3 linked regions of the Rhinolophus ferrumequinum genome follow. Each later gene encodes a partner of the first gene's protein in a complex. Links are inferred from orthologs where the notes say so. Each region holds a gene or a part of one and is shown in the gene's direction. Other genes may lie near its edges. The genes, in order: RBM15B, METTL3 and CBLL1.

Region 1 (3,748 bases):
CCCATGGTTATCTACGATGGGTGAACTCCTGCAAGGAAGCAGATTTCAGGTCATGCAGTGTTGCAGGTGTTTCTTCTAAGGCCTTTCCCCTGACACCTGCCTTAGCTGCTTTCAGGAGCTGCTTTCCTGTTTGGGGGAGAGGGAAAGCTGCTGCGCTCCTCCCACCACGGTTTCTGTGGCTGACGTTGGGTATGGTTCTCCGTAGCTCCCCTCTCCTCACCTCACTTCTCCCGAGAAGAGCTCCTGTCCTGGGAGGTGGATAGGAGGGCCCTGGCCAGTGAGAGGTAAGCGCGGCAATTCGTGGAACTACTGGCTTTGGCCTCTTGGCACCAAGACAGTGGCCCTTGTCCTTGCAGCCCACTGTCTGGTGCCAAGTAGCCTAGTCCCGGCCCCTAAACTGTTACATTGTCTCGGGTTTCTGTGCCTGGGCCTAAAGAGGTGTCGCCCTCTGCATGCATAGCCATGGCCCTCATGGCCTTTCGGGGGACCGCTGCGGTGAACCTGAACTTAGAGGATGCCCCAGGATGGCCTTGGGTCATGGATGGGGCCTAGGGAGCAGCCTGCTCCTATCCTTGGGATTGTTAATCCCGGACCCCAGTCAGGAGATGCCGTGGCGGAAATTGGGGTGATACCACGTAAAGGGATCGCTAGGCAAGGCCCTGGACCCCGGCGCCCACATGCTACGGCCTGAGGCGGTGAGAGCCAGCCCGGCTCTCCCTAGGACTCGGATCTCAGCGTATCCCCGAGCGTCAGCCACGCTGGCCGCACGGTGGCGCCAGAGCTCAACCCAGCCGCGCTCGCCTGCCTGTCGCGGAGTCACGTGGCAAGGGGCGGCGCAGTCCGATGGCGTAAGCCCAGCGCAGCTCTCGCCCCGCCCGCCGCTGGGTCACGTGGCACGGCGGGCGCAGCCTGATAACGCGACGCCCAGCCCCTGGGCTCCGCTCCCGCCCCGCCGCTGAGTCCTTTTGTCCAAGATGGCGGCGCCGGGGGCGCTGCCTCCTCCGCCGCCGCCGCCGCCGCCGCCGCTGTGAGAGGCCGGAGGGCCGCCCGCCCGCCCGCCACGCCGGCGCCATGAAGAGGCAAAGCGAGCGAGACTCGAGCCCGAGCGGGCGGGGCTCGTCATCGTCAGCCAAGCGGCCGCGGGAGCGCGAACGGGAGGCGGAGGCGGGCGGGCGGCGGGCGGCGCACAAGGCCTCCGGCGGCGCCAAGCACCCCGTTCCAACGCGGACCCGCGACAAACCCCGTGGTAGCGGGGGCGGCGGGGGTGGGCATCGCGACGGCCGCGGCGCCGGGGACGCGAATCACCGTGCGAGCAGCGGCCGCTCCTCGGGCTCGGGCGCCGGCGGCGGGGGACGCGGCGGCAAGGCCTCGGGGGACCCGGGCGCTTCAGGCGCTTCTCCCCGCGCGTCTCCGTTGCCACCACCTCCGCCGCCGCCCGGAGCCGAGCCCGCGGGTCCCGGCTCGTCGGCGGCAGCACCCGAGTACAAGACGCTGCTCATCAGCAGCCTGAGCCCCGCGCTGCCTGCAGAGCACCTCGAGGACCGGCTGTTCCACCAGTTCAAGCGCTTCGGCGAGATCAGCCTGCGCCTGTCGCACACGCCTGAGCTGGGCCGCGTGGCCTACGTGAACTTCCGGCACCCACAGGACGCGCGCGAGGCCCGCCAGCACGCCCTGGCCCGCCAGCTGCTGCTCTACGACCGCCCGCTCAAGGTGGAGCCCGTGTACCTGCGCGGTGGCGGCGGTGGGAGCAGCCGGCGAAGCAGCAGCAGCAGCGCCGCCGCCTCCACGCCGCCCCCAGGGCCGCCTGCGCCTGCTGACCCGCTTGGCTACCTGCCGCTGCACGGTGGCTACCAGTACAAGCAGCGCTCACTTTCCCCTGTCGCCGCCCCGCCACTGCGGGAGCCCCGCGCCCGCCATGCCCACGCTGCTGCAGCCTTTGCCCTGGATGCTGCGGCCGCCGCTGCCGTGGGACTATCTCGGGAGCGGGCCCTAGACTACTACGGGTTGTACGACGACCGGGGGCGCCCATATGGCTACCCCGCCGTGTGTGAGGAGGACCTGATGCCCGAGGATGACCAGCGGGCCACGCGCAACCTCTTCATCGGGAACCTGGACCACAGCGTGTCGGAGGTGGAGCTGCGACGAGCCTTCGAAAAGTACGGCATCATTGAGGAGGTGGTCATCAAAAGACCGGCCCGGGGCCAGGGCGGTGCGTACGCCTTCCTCAAGTTCCAGAACCTAGACATGGCCCACAGGGCGAAGGTGGCCATGTCAGGGCGGGTGATTGGCCGCAACCCCATTAAGATCGGCTATGGCAAGGCCAACCCCACCACCCGCCTCTGGGTGGGTGGCCTGGGGCCTAACACCTCGCTGGCCGCCCTGGCCCGGGAGTTTGACCGCTTTGGGAGCATTCGGACCATTGATCATGTGAAAGGAGACAGCTTCGCCTACATCCAGTACGAGAGCCTGGACGCAGCGCAGGCCGCCTGTGCTAAAATGAGGGGCTTTCCCTTGGGTGGTCCAGACCGCAGGCTGCGTGTGGATTTTGCCAAAGCAGAGGAGACTCGGTATCCCCAGCAGTACCAGCCCTCCCCTCTCCCTGTGCATTACGAGCTGCTCCCAGATGGGTATACCCGGCACCGAAACCTGGATGCCGATCTGAGGGTGCGGGATAGGACCCCCCCACACCTCCTGTACTCAGACCGAGACCGGACCTTTTTGGAAGGGGACTGGGCCAGCCCCAGCAAAAGCTCTGACCGCCGAAACAGCCTGGAGGGCTACAGCCGCTCAGTGCGCAGCCGGAGTGGGGAGCGCTGGGGAGGAGATGGGGACCGGGGCCTGCCCAAGCCCTGGGAGGAGAGGCGGAAGCGGAGGAGTCTTTCCAGTGACCGCGGGAGGACAACCCACTCCCCTTACGAGGAACGGAGCAGGACCAAGGGTGGTGGGCAGCTGGCCGATCGAGGCTCCGACCGCACCCCTGAGCGCAGTCGCAAGGAAAATCACTCCAGTGAAGGGACCAAGGAGTCAAGCAGCAACTCCCTCAGCAACAGCAGACACGGGGCGGAGGAGCGGAGCCACCACCACCACGAGGCTGCAGACTCTTCCCACGGGAAGAAGACACGCGAGAGCGAGCGCAATCATCGAACCGCTGAGGCTGAGCCCAAGCCTCTGGAAGAGCCAAAACACGAGACCAAAAAGCTCAAGAATCTTTCCGAGTATGCCCAGACGTTGCAGCTGGGTTGGAACGGGCTTCTAGTGTTGAAAAACAGCTGCTTCCCGACATCTATGCACATCCTAGAGGGGGACCAGGGGGTCATCAGCGGTCTCCTCAAGGACCACGCTTCTGGGAGTAAGCTGACTCAGCTGAAGATTGCCCAGCGCCTTCGACTGGACCAGCCCAAGCTCGACGAGGTCACGCGACGCATCAAGCAAGGGAGCCCCAATGGCTACGCAGTGCTGCTGGCCACCCAGGCAACCCCCAGTGGGCCTGGCACCGAGGGGATGCCCGCGGTGGAGCCAGGCCTACAGAGGCGGCTTCTCAGGAACCTGGTCTCCTACTTGAAACAGAAGCAGGCGGCGGGGGTGATCAGCCTGCCAGTGGGTGGGTCCAAGGGCAGAGACAGCACAGGCATGCTGTACGCCTTCCCGCCCTGTGACTTTTCCCAGCAATACCTCCAGTCGGCGCTGAGGACACTGGGCAAGCTCGAGGAAGAGCACATGGTGATAGTGATCGTAAGGGACTCGGCCT
Region 2 (3,748 bases), on another chromosome or scaffold:
GTCTAACCATATGCTGTACACCTGAAATTCATATAAAATAATTGTGGGGACACAGTCCCAGAGAGCAGTTTCCAGGCTCTCAGCCTCCTGTGGGGAGGTGCTGGCTCAGGTAATGAATGACAATCAACTGTGATTGGTTCGCTGTCAGCTGTAACCGTTTAGCCAATTGGCTACTGATGTAACTGCCGGGACTGCATTGATTGGTTGGTTGATTGGCAGGCAGAAGAAACGAATGGGGGACTGCCGATTATGTGGATCCTACTGTGTGTGTCTTGCCCGGCCACCAGCGAGAATATAGTGGTATGACTTCCCTATCTATGGCTCTGTGTTGTTCCTTTTTGGTCTCACCATATCCTGCGTTCTTAGGTGGGCAGTGGGACCAGAGACCCTGCATGACACCCTGTATGACAATAATATTGAATGTCAACTGAAACTGAAAAAATTAAAAAGCGGGAAAGGTGAAGGGCAATTGTGATCCAAATTTCCAAGTATAAAACAAGTAAGTCATGGGGATATAATGTACAGCATAGGGAATATAGTCAATATATCGTGATAGTATTGTATGGTGTCAGATGGTTGCTGGACTTATCATGGTGATCACTTCTTTAGGTATATAAAGATTGAGTAACTACTGTGTACACCTGAAACTAGTATAGTATTACATACTAACTATATTTTTAATACAAGTTTTTAATTTAAGTTTACTACACCTACAGAGACGTGCACATACCAAAATTTTTGGCTCAGTTGATTTTCACAAATGACATACTCATGCAAACAGCATCCAGAAAAGAAACACAATGCAACCTGAACCTCAGAAGCCCCCTTTATGTGCCCTTATGAGGACTGTATTTCAATGTATTACACGATACTTGTAGATGTTATATAATTAAGAAGAGTGAGAATATGTATTTGTAGACCCCTTATATTACCATCGATCCATCAGTCCTCCTTCTCTCTGAGAAGCATGCCCACGCATACACATCCATAGGGCGGAAACTAATGTAATAGCTCTTTGCAAATGAATGCATGAAACCATAAACCCACTACACCTTCAGTGGAAAAGGTATGTATCAAACTTGGCCGAGACGAATTAGTGATCCTTCATTTTAAATACCGGTACTACACGTGCTGCTGTACTAGTGTTATTTTAAGGTCAACCCTCAGGAAGCATCTCCTTATGCTCAAACATGGCCGCATGCGCGCCTATAAGCAACATGGCCTCTTTGCCAGGCACCAACATGGCAACCACAGCCTCATTGCTCCCGGAAGGACGCAAGAAGCCCAATTAAAAAATATGTCCTCCATCCTGCCAATACCTAAGATGGCTTTCGTTTCAGCTTCAAAGCGAACGCTAAACCGGAAGTGACTTTTCCGTCTAGGCCATCTCTCGGGATCTCTTTCCGGTTCGCCTTGGGGTGTCCACGAGAGAATTGAATATTTCCTGGAATTCCGGCTGGGAGGTGCTAGTCCGCCGCGCCTGATTCGAGACTTGTCCAGGCTGTGAGACTAGGATGTCAGACACGTGGAGCTCCATCCAGGCCCACAAAAAGCAGCTGGACTCGCTGCGGGAGAGGCTGCAGCGGAGGCGGAAGCAGGACTCGGGGCACCTGGGTGAGGCGCGGGGCTATCCTGGCCCATGCGTAGCCGGGGTGTGCGGGAGGGATCCCTGTAGAAAAAGACCGCTCCCGAGTGAGAGCCCTTCTCCAAGCGGCTATTTCTTTAATGCCTTGTTCATTGGTACTCTCTTTCGTCCCTCAGTAGCACAGATGCTTCGCCCCGCTGCAAGTAGTTGAGGTTCCTTCCCACCCTGGGCTTTGGTTCCTTGCGTTCGCTTTCCTGGGTTTGACGCCTGTGCCCCACCCCCGTCCCCTGGCTGATTCCTCTTAAGTCTTAAAGAATGTCGCGTTTGCCAGGTCTCAGCCCTATCTCTCGAAGTAGCAAGTCCCCTTTTTTTGTTGCTTCTATGGCGCTTTGTTCCTGTCGGTTACAGCGACTGGTTGGTAGTGGTCGTTTATCTGTGACGGGACACCGAGAGAGCAAGCACCGCATCTTAATATCCACAGTGCCCATCTCAGTGGCCCTCACAGAGTTGCACTCGGTTTTACTAAATGAGAAGAGGAACTGACATTGTTTCAGTCATTTACATACCGAGCAGGAATCTGAAAACGGTTTTGTTTGTTTTTAAATTTTTTCTCCCCTCCCGTGTCCCCCGTGTCAGGCATAAAACGAAGGAGCCTCAAAAGATTTTTCAAGTCCTACCCATCACCCATCCCCAGCATGAGCCCTGAATGATTTAAGGCAAATCAGTTTTGAAGATCTACAAACATAGTGACTCTATACGACAGTGGTAGCTTGTTCAAATGTTTATCTCTATCTTCTAGTCCATCACTAAATCTTGTCTTGATACATATCAGGTCGACGCAGACATACTCTTGTCCCTGGAACTAGCAAATGCCCTGGCAGGACTCTCACACCAAAATAAATAAATAAACGAACATCTATTGAGTTGTTACAGTGTGCATGACTCTAGTTAGACAAAAATAAGTATGACATTGACCCTGCCCTCAAGGAATTTGAAATTTAGTTGGGGTTAAAGGATAGATGCTTATAACAAGTCAGATACAATATGATACATGTAAAATGCCAAATGAATGAGTCCACAGTGAATGTAGTGAAAGGAGAAGTAACAAGAGTTGGTTCAATGAAAAGCATCATGGAGGAGCTGGCACTTGGAATTTGGTTTTGATGGCTATATAGGGCTTAGATCATTGAAAAGAAGTAAAGAGGGCAGGATGAGTAGAGGAAAAAGTGCAACTCCTATGATAAGGGATTAATTAGTAGTCAAGCATTGGAGTAGTTACTGAATTACCCAAGAGGGAGAAGGTATTTCTTGATATATAAACTTCAATTCCTTTGACCTCTTGTAGATCCAGTTTTCTCTCCTTTTTTTTTCTTATTCTTTGGTTTCCTCTGTGGCTGAGCCTTTTATTTATGCATATCAATTTTAGATGGAAAATCTAACAATTACATCACTATCATAGAGAAATAACCCAATTGCTTCTTAATGTATCATAGACTCCTGTTACTGGCCTTAAGCATCTCATCATCTTTTTTTAAAAAAAGCATTCTGGAAAGATATAGTTAGAGGCATTTTTACTATATAGGTATGTTTGTGTGTGTTCCTGAAAAACCTTGCTTTCTGCAGAAGTCTGCATTACAAAATAGCAGGGCTTATAGAAGAAATAGGTTTTGAAGTAGTCTGCTCAAAATCTATGTAACTCTGTTACTAGAACCCTAATAATATTCTACTAAAAATACTAGCATAGTTAAATCTCACTGGTGTTTTGATATATAATGAAAATCATTCCATCCCCATAGTCTATACCTTGGGACTCCTACTTCTGCTTCCATCCATTAGTCTGTTTTTGTTTAACCAAGGGAAATACCTTTGCATTTTCTTCATCTATCCCAGATAGCTTAACATAGTGCAAAGTGTAGCACTTCTTGAAGCCACCAAACCAGCAACTTAGATTTTTTAAAACCTTTTTTTTTTAATTTAATGTTTTTATTAGAAAAATATTTTTAAACAGTATCTTAAAATTTCTAAGTAATAGCATGATAGAAAGGACACTACTCTGGATGTCCAGATACCCAGACTTGATAATTTCACTCATTAGTTACTTAAACTTGATAAAGTCATCTAAGCATCAATGTCTTTGATTTCTGGGTTCTAAAATGATAATGC
Region 3 (3,748 bases), on another chromosome or scaffold:
AAAATAAATGTGAATGTGGACTTTCAATAAAGAAATTGTGACATTACAGCACACAAGTCACCAACAATAGCTACCAAGCACAGTAATAAAATCTCAATCTATGTATAGTTTCACTTACCAGTTTAGTTAAGAGATTTACACTGCTGCACTGGTAAAGTGAAGCAACTACAGTTAAGGGAGAAATGAATATAGAGCATAAAGTAATGCATGAAAACAACAGATGTTAAATGAAATAATTCACCAAATGTTTAACATTTTATCAACAGGAAGTCTAAACAGGTGAGTTTTCCCTTAGTAAATTTTCATAACAATGCTGACAAAACTTCTGATTTAGATTATATAAAATAGTTTGAAAGTTCTTTTTTCTTCTAATTCTTTAAATATTAGCATCAGTAGACACTAATATTATTTTAAACCTGGATTTGCATCAATCTAAAGTATGGCCAATAGGCTAAATATGAGGATAGAAAAAATAAAAAGAGTACTTTCTAGGTGAAAACGACCTTTTTTTAAACCCCAAATTGGTGAAAAATGCTCGATCGTATCAACACTGTAAATAGGAAGTATGGGAGGAAGATTAAGCTTCTCCCAGCCTCCAAAACAAAAAATAAGGCCAGCAACTGAAAGCATCTTGAAAACCACATTTTAACAAAAGCAGGGGTAATCTTGATTCACAATTATCCTTCCTTGTGAAGGTCCTTAAAAACTTGTTCATGAAGTTGCAGATATAGTAGTGGGAGTGTCTTTTAAAGGATTCAAGTAAAACACTCACCAAATAACAGGGAACATATTATTCAAAGTTGTTACTGTATATCTATACAGATACAGCACATTGCTACACATACTTTATTTGGAATTCAGTACCATGAAAACATTTCTTGTAAGAGGTCAATGTAATCTCTTATTAATCAAGGAACTCTGGCACTGAAAGCGTGAATAACCCAAGGTAATGATGTCGTCACCAAGGGACGACAAGAATAGAACCCAAATCCCTTGACTCCCCAGCTTGTGTTTTCCACTAATTGTGCTCCTTTCTACCCATCAGAGGGTATCAAACGTAAAAGAGAAGGGAGTGGACACAAATGAGCCAAGCCCGAGAGGTGGAGACCGCACTGAAGGTCCTCAGGAATCACTCTTTGCCACTTTCCGTTGTTTTGGCCTAAGAAGATGAAAGCAGCAGCAGCCACAAACCCCTGGGACCAAGAACTGGAACTAGGTACTGCTTACTGTGGTAACTCTCTCTTCCTCCTTTGAGGCCTTTCCTTTTTAACCTCTCCCTTCCGGCCAGCCCTAACGCTCTCTCCACCTCCCCTCCTTCAGCTCCACGGTGCACTTTATTGACCGGCGTCCCCTAGAAACAGGCGGCTGCGCTGCACTCGCTCTCCACCTGACCCTGCACCCAGTCCTTCGGACATATGTTCTGGCTGTTCCTAGAGGCAGAAGCTTTTAGGCTAGAAAAGGAGTGCTACTCAAGCATTCTAAATGTGTCGCAACTGTTAGAAACTTAAGAGGCGGGAACGGGGACAAATACCAAGTCGGTTGTGCGTGGGTCTATGTAGCTCGTCGCGGCAAAGCGACCTTTAGACAATAAGCACAGCGCCCTTCTCTCTAGCTGGGAGCTTCACACAGCTCACCCATCCCCTGGGCTAGCTCCGCCGGAGGACGCCTAGGGGAGCGCGCGTGTTTACACTTTTCCTAGACCCGGGGAGGGGACAGCCGCTCTGGGACCTGGGGGATTCCAAACCGTTACTCCGCCTGCCGGGGTGGGGCCGCCCAACGGCCGAGCCTGCGCACTGGGCCTGGCCTCTCCAGGGCTCCGGTGCACTTCAAGTCCCAGAAGTCAACGCTCAGCGGGGGCGGGCATCCGCCTACCTGCCGGGAGCTTATCCCTCCAGCTACTACCGCTCTCCCCCTCCCCGGTTCCCGTCCGTCTCCTTTCCAGTCAAAGGCTACTTTCTCTCGAAGCATGTGAGGAGAGGCCGTAGCAACCCCGACATCGAAGGCCTTAGCCTACTCGCTCTTTCTTCCTCAGCCCGAACTATGCCTAATTCGCTTACCGGAGTTGGGTGGTGTGAGCCAGGAAAGGAAGCCCTCGGAAGCCAAAGCCGGGGCAACCTAATGGCACTTCCGCCTCCCGGGCTCCGGAAGGTAGCGCGCACGCGCTCCCTGCGACTCCGGCGCAGTTGACTTCCGTTCCCACTGTGCTCTGCGAGCCGAATCATGGATCACACTGGTAAGGAGGCGGAGGCAGTGGGGGTCCCGGTTCCATGCCCCCTTGGCCGGCCTGGGACTGGTCTCCTAGCGGACATAGAGGGGTTACGCTCGCCCTACATTACTGGGGTGTAGCGGTGAGAAAGAAATCTTACAGACCCCTCCCCCTGCCCGGCAAGGGCCTGCTACTTCCCGGCCTACTCTCCGGTGTGGTACCTCCAGCCGCGGTGCCGGCAACGGCCGCTTATCTGGTTCTGCTGAGCCCCGAGCCGGGACGGCGGGCGGCGCGGGCCTTGTGCGGAGATCTCGCTCTCTCTCTCTCTCTTTCTCTTTCTCATTCTGAGGGCTATGCCCTACATTACGGGAACTAGGGGGAGATTCCCGTTTCGGAGACGGGGAAGCCTTATTACGCTGGGAGTGGATTTGCGAGAGTGGGTTGGAGACGTTCTGCTGTCTCAGGCAGCTTTGGGCGGGTGCTGCGGTGGTCAGCGTCTGTGGTCATTGTCTCTCCCGTCCTTTATGGACTAGAGGTGGGAGAAGGGAGTCGGGTTGGTTTTCGGAATGATGCTCGGAGCAGCTTTTCTATCGAAACCCCGCGCTTCGGCTATGGCCCTTACTCATCATTTGGGGACATTTACAAAGGAGAACTTAAAATCAAGACATTCACATCTCTTTCTCAAAGTAAGGATGGCTCCACTCTTTGTTACGTGTTTTTTTGGTTTAGCTTGCTGGGTTTTTGGATATTGAATGAGTGCACTTGGGATTAGAAAGTGCTTCGTATAGTTACATTAACCACATCGCAAATAGGGAAAAAAGGCGTTTTCCTGTAGTAAGTACTTGTTGGGATGTCCTCAATCATCAAATACCTGTCTATCTGTCTGTCTGTATTTTTCTCTATCTCCAAAACTTGCAGGCCTGGAGATGGAATGGTAAACAAGGCAGAGTTACTGTCATGGAGGTTACGATCTATTGGGGAAGACACAATAAATTTTTTTTAAAGCCCAAATGTTTACAAGTTATGATAAGTTCTTTGAAAACAAACATGCTGTGGTAAAGACTAATACGACGCTTCAGAGAGGGTGGTAGGGAAGGTCTTTCTCTAAAGGTAGCATTAACAACTTGAGATCTGATGGATGAGAAGAATCCAGCCATGGAATAGATCAGGAGGAAAGCATATTCAGCAAGTACAAAGAATGAAGTGGGAAATTAGTCGGCTGCAGCTTAGTTATTAGCAAGAAGGAAAGAGCTCTAATACGAGATTGGAAAGGAGGGCAGGAATCAGGTCGTGCAAGACTTTGAAGGCCATGTTAAAGATTCAAATTTATTTTATGTGCAATATGAAGCCATTGAACAGAAGTAGAAGAGGAGCATAGTATCTTAAAAATATAATAGGTTCTATGGAGAAGGGTGTAAGAGAGGGTGGCAAGAATAATAGAAAATAGACAATTTAGGAGGTAATTGCAGTAAACCAGAAGGCAGGCTTGGCTTAGTGAAGAACCGGAGTGGACAGAGTCAATAAATATTTTGGTGGTGGAAC

What was found.
Region 2: RBM15B (region 1) and METTL3 share a complex: the UniProt entries of both Homo sapiens proteins name them as parts of the WMM complex. The link is inferred for Rhinolophus ferrumequinum from reciprocal best matches to the Homo sapiens genes RBM15B and METTL3.
Region 3: RBM15B (region 1) and CBLL1 share a complex: the UniProt entries of both Homo sapiens proteins name them as parts of the WMM complex. The link is inferred for Rhinolophus ferrumequinum from reciprocal best matches to the Homo sapiens genes RBM15B and CBLL1.

The regions. Positions count from the first base shown.
Region 1 is NC_046300.1:5,656,086-5,659,833, reverse strand, and holds the start of RBM15B (putative RNA-binding protein 15B), read left to right. Parts: upstream 1-939; 5' UTR 940-1,071; coding exon 1,072-3,748. UniProt on the Homo sapiens protein: RNA-binding protein that acts as a key regulator of N6-methyladenosine (m6A) methylation of RNAs, thereby regulating different processes, such as alternative splicing of mRNAs and X chromosome inactivation mediated by Xist RNA.
Region 2 is NC_046289.1:72,314,243-72,317,990, reverse strand, and holds the start of METTL3 (N6-adenosine-methyltransferase catalytic subunit), read left to right. Parts: upstream 1-1,405; 5' UTR 1,406-1,514; coding exon 1,515-1,614; intron 1,615-3,748. UniProt on the Homo sapiens protein: The METTL3-METTL14 heterodimer forms a N6-methyltransferase complex that methylates adenosine residues at the N(6) position of some RNAs and regulates various processes such as the circadian clock, differentiation of embryonic and hematopoietic stem cells, cortical neurogenesis, response to DNA damage, differentiation of T-cells and primary miRNA processing.
Region 3 is NC_046303.1:50,840,062-50,843,809, forward strand, and holds the start of CBLL1 (E3 ubiquitin-protein ligase Hakai), read left to right. Parts: upstream 1-944; 5' UTR 945-1,167; coding exon 1,168-1,216; intron 1,217-1,266; exon of another isoform or gene 1,267-2,220; coding exon of another isoform or gene 2,221-2,233; intron 2,234-3,748. UniProt on the Homo sapiens protein: E3 ubiquitin-protein ligase that mediates ubiquitination of several tyrosine-phosphorylated Src substrates, including CDH1, CTTN and DOK1. Targets CDH1 for endocytosis and degradation.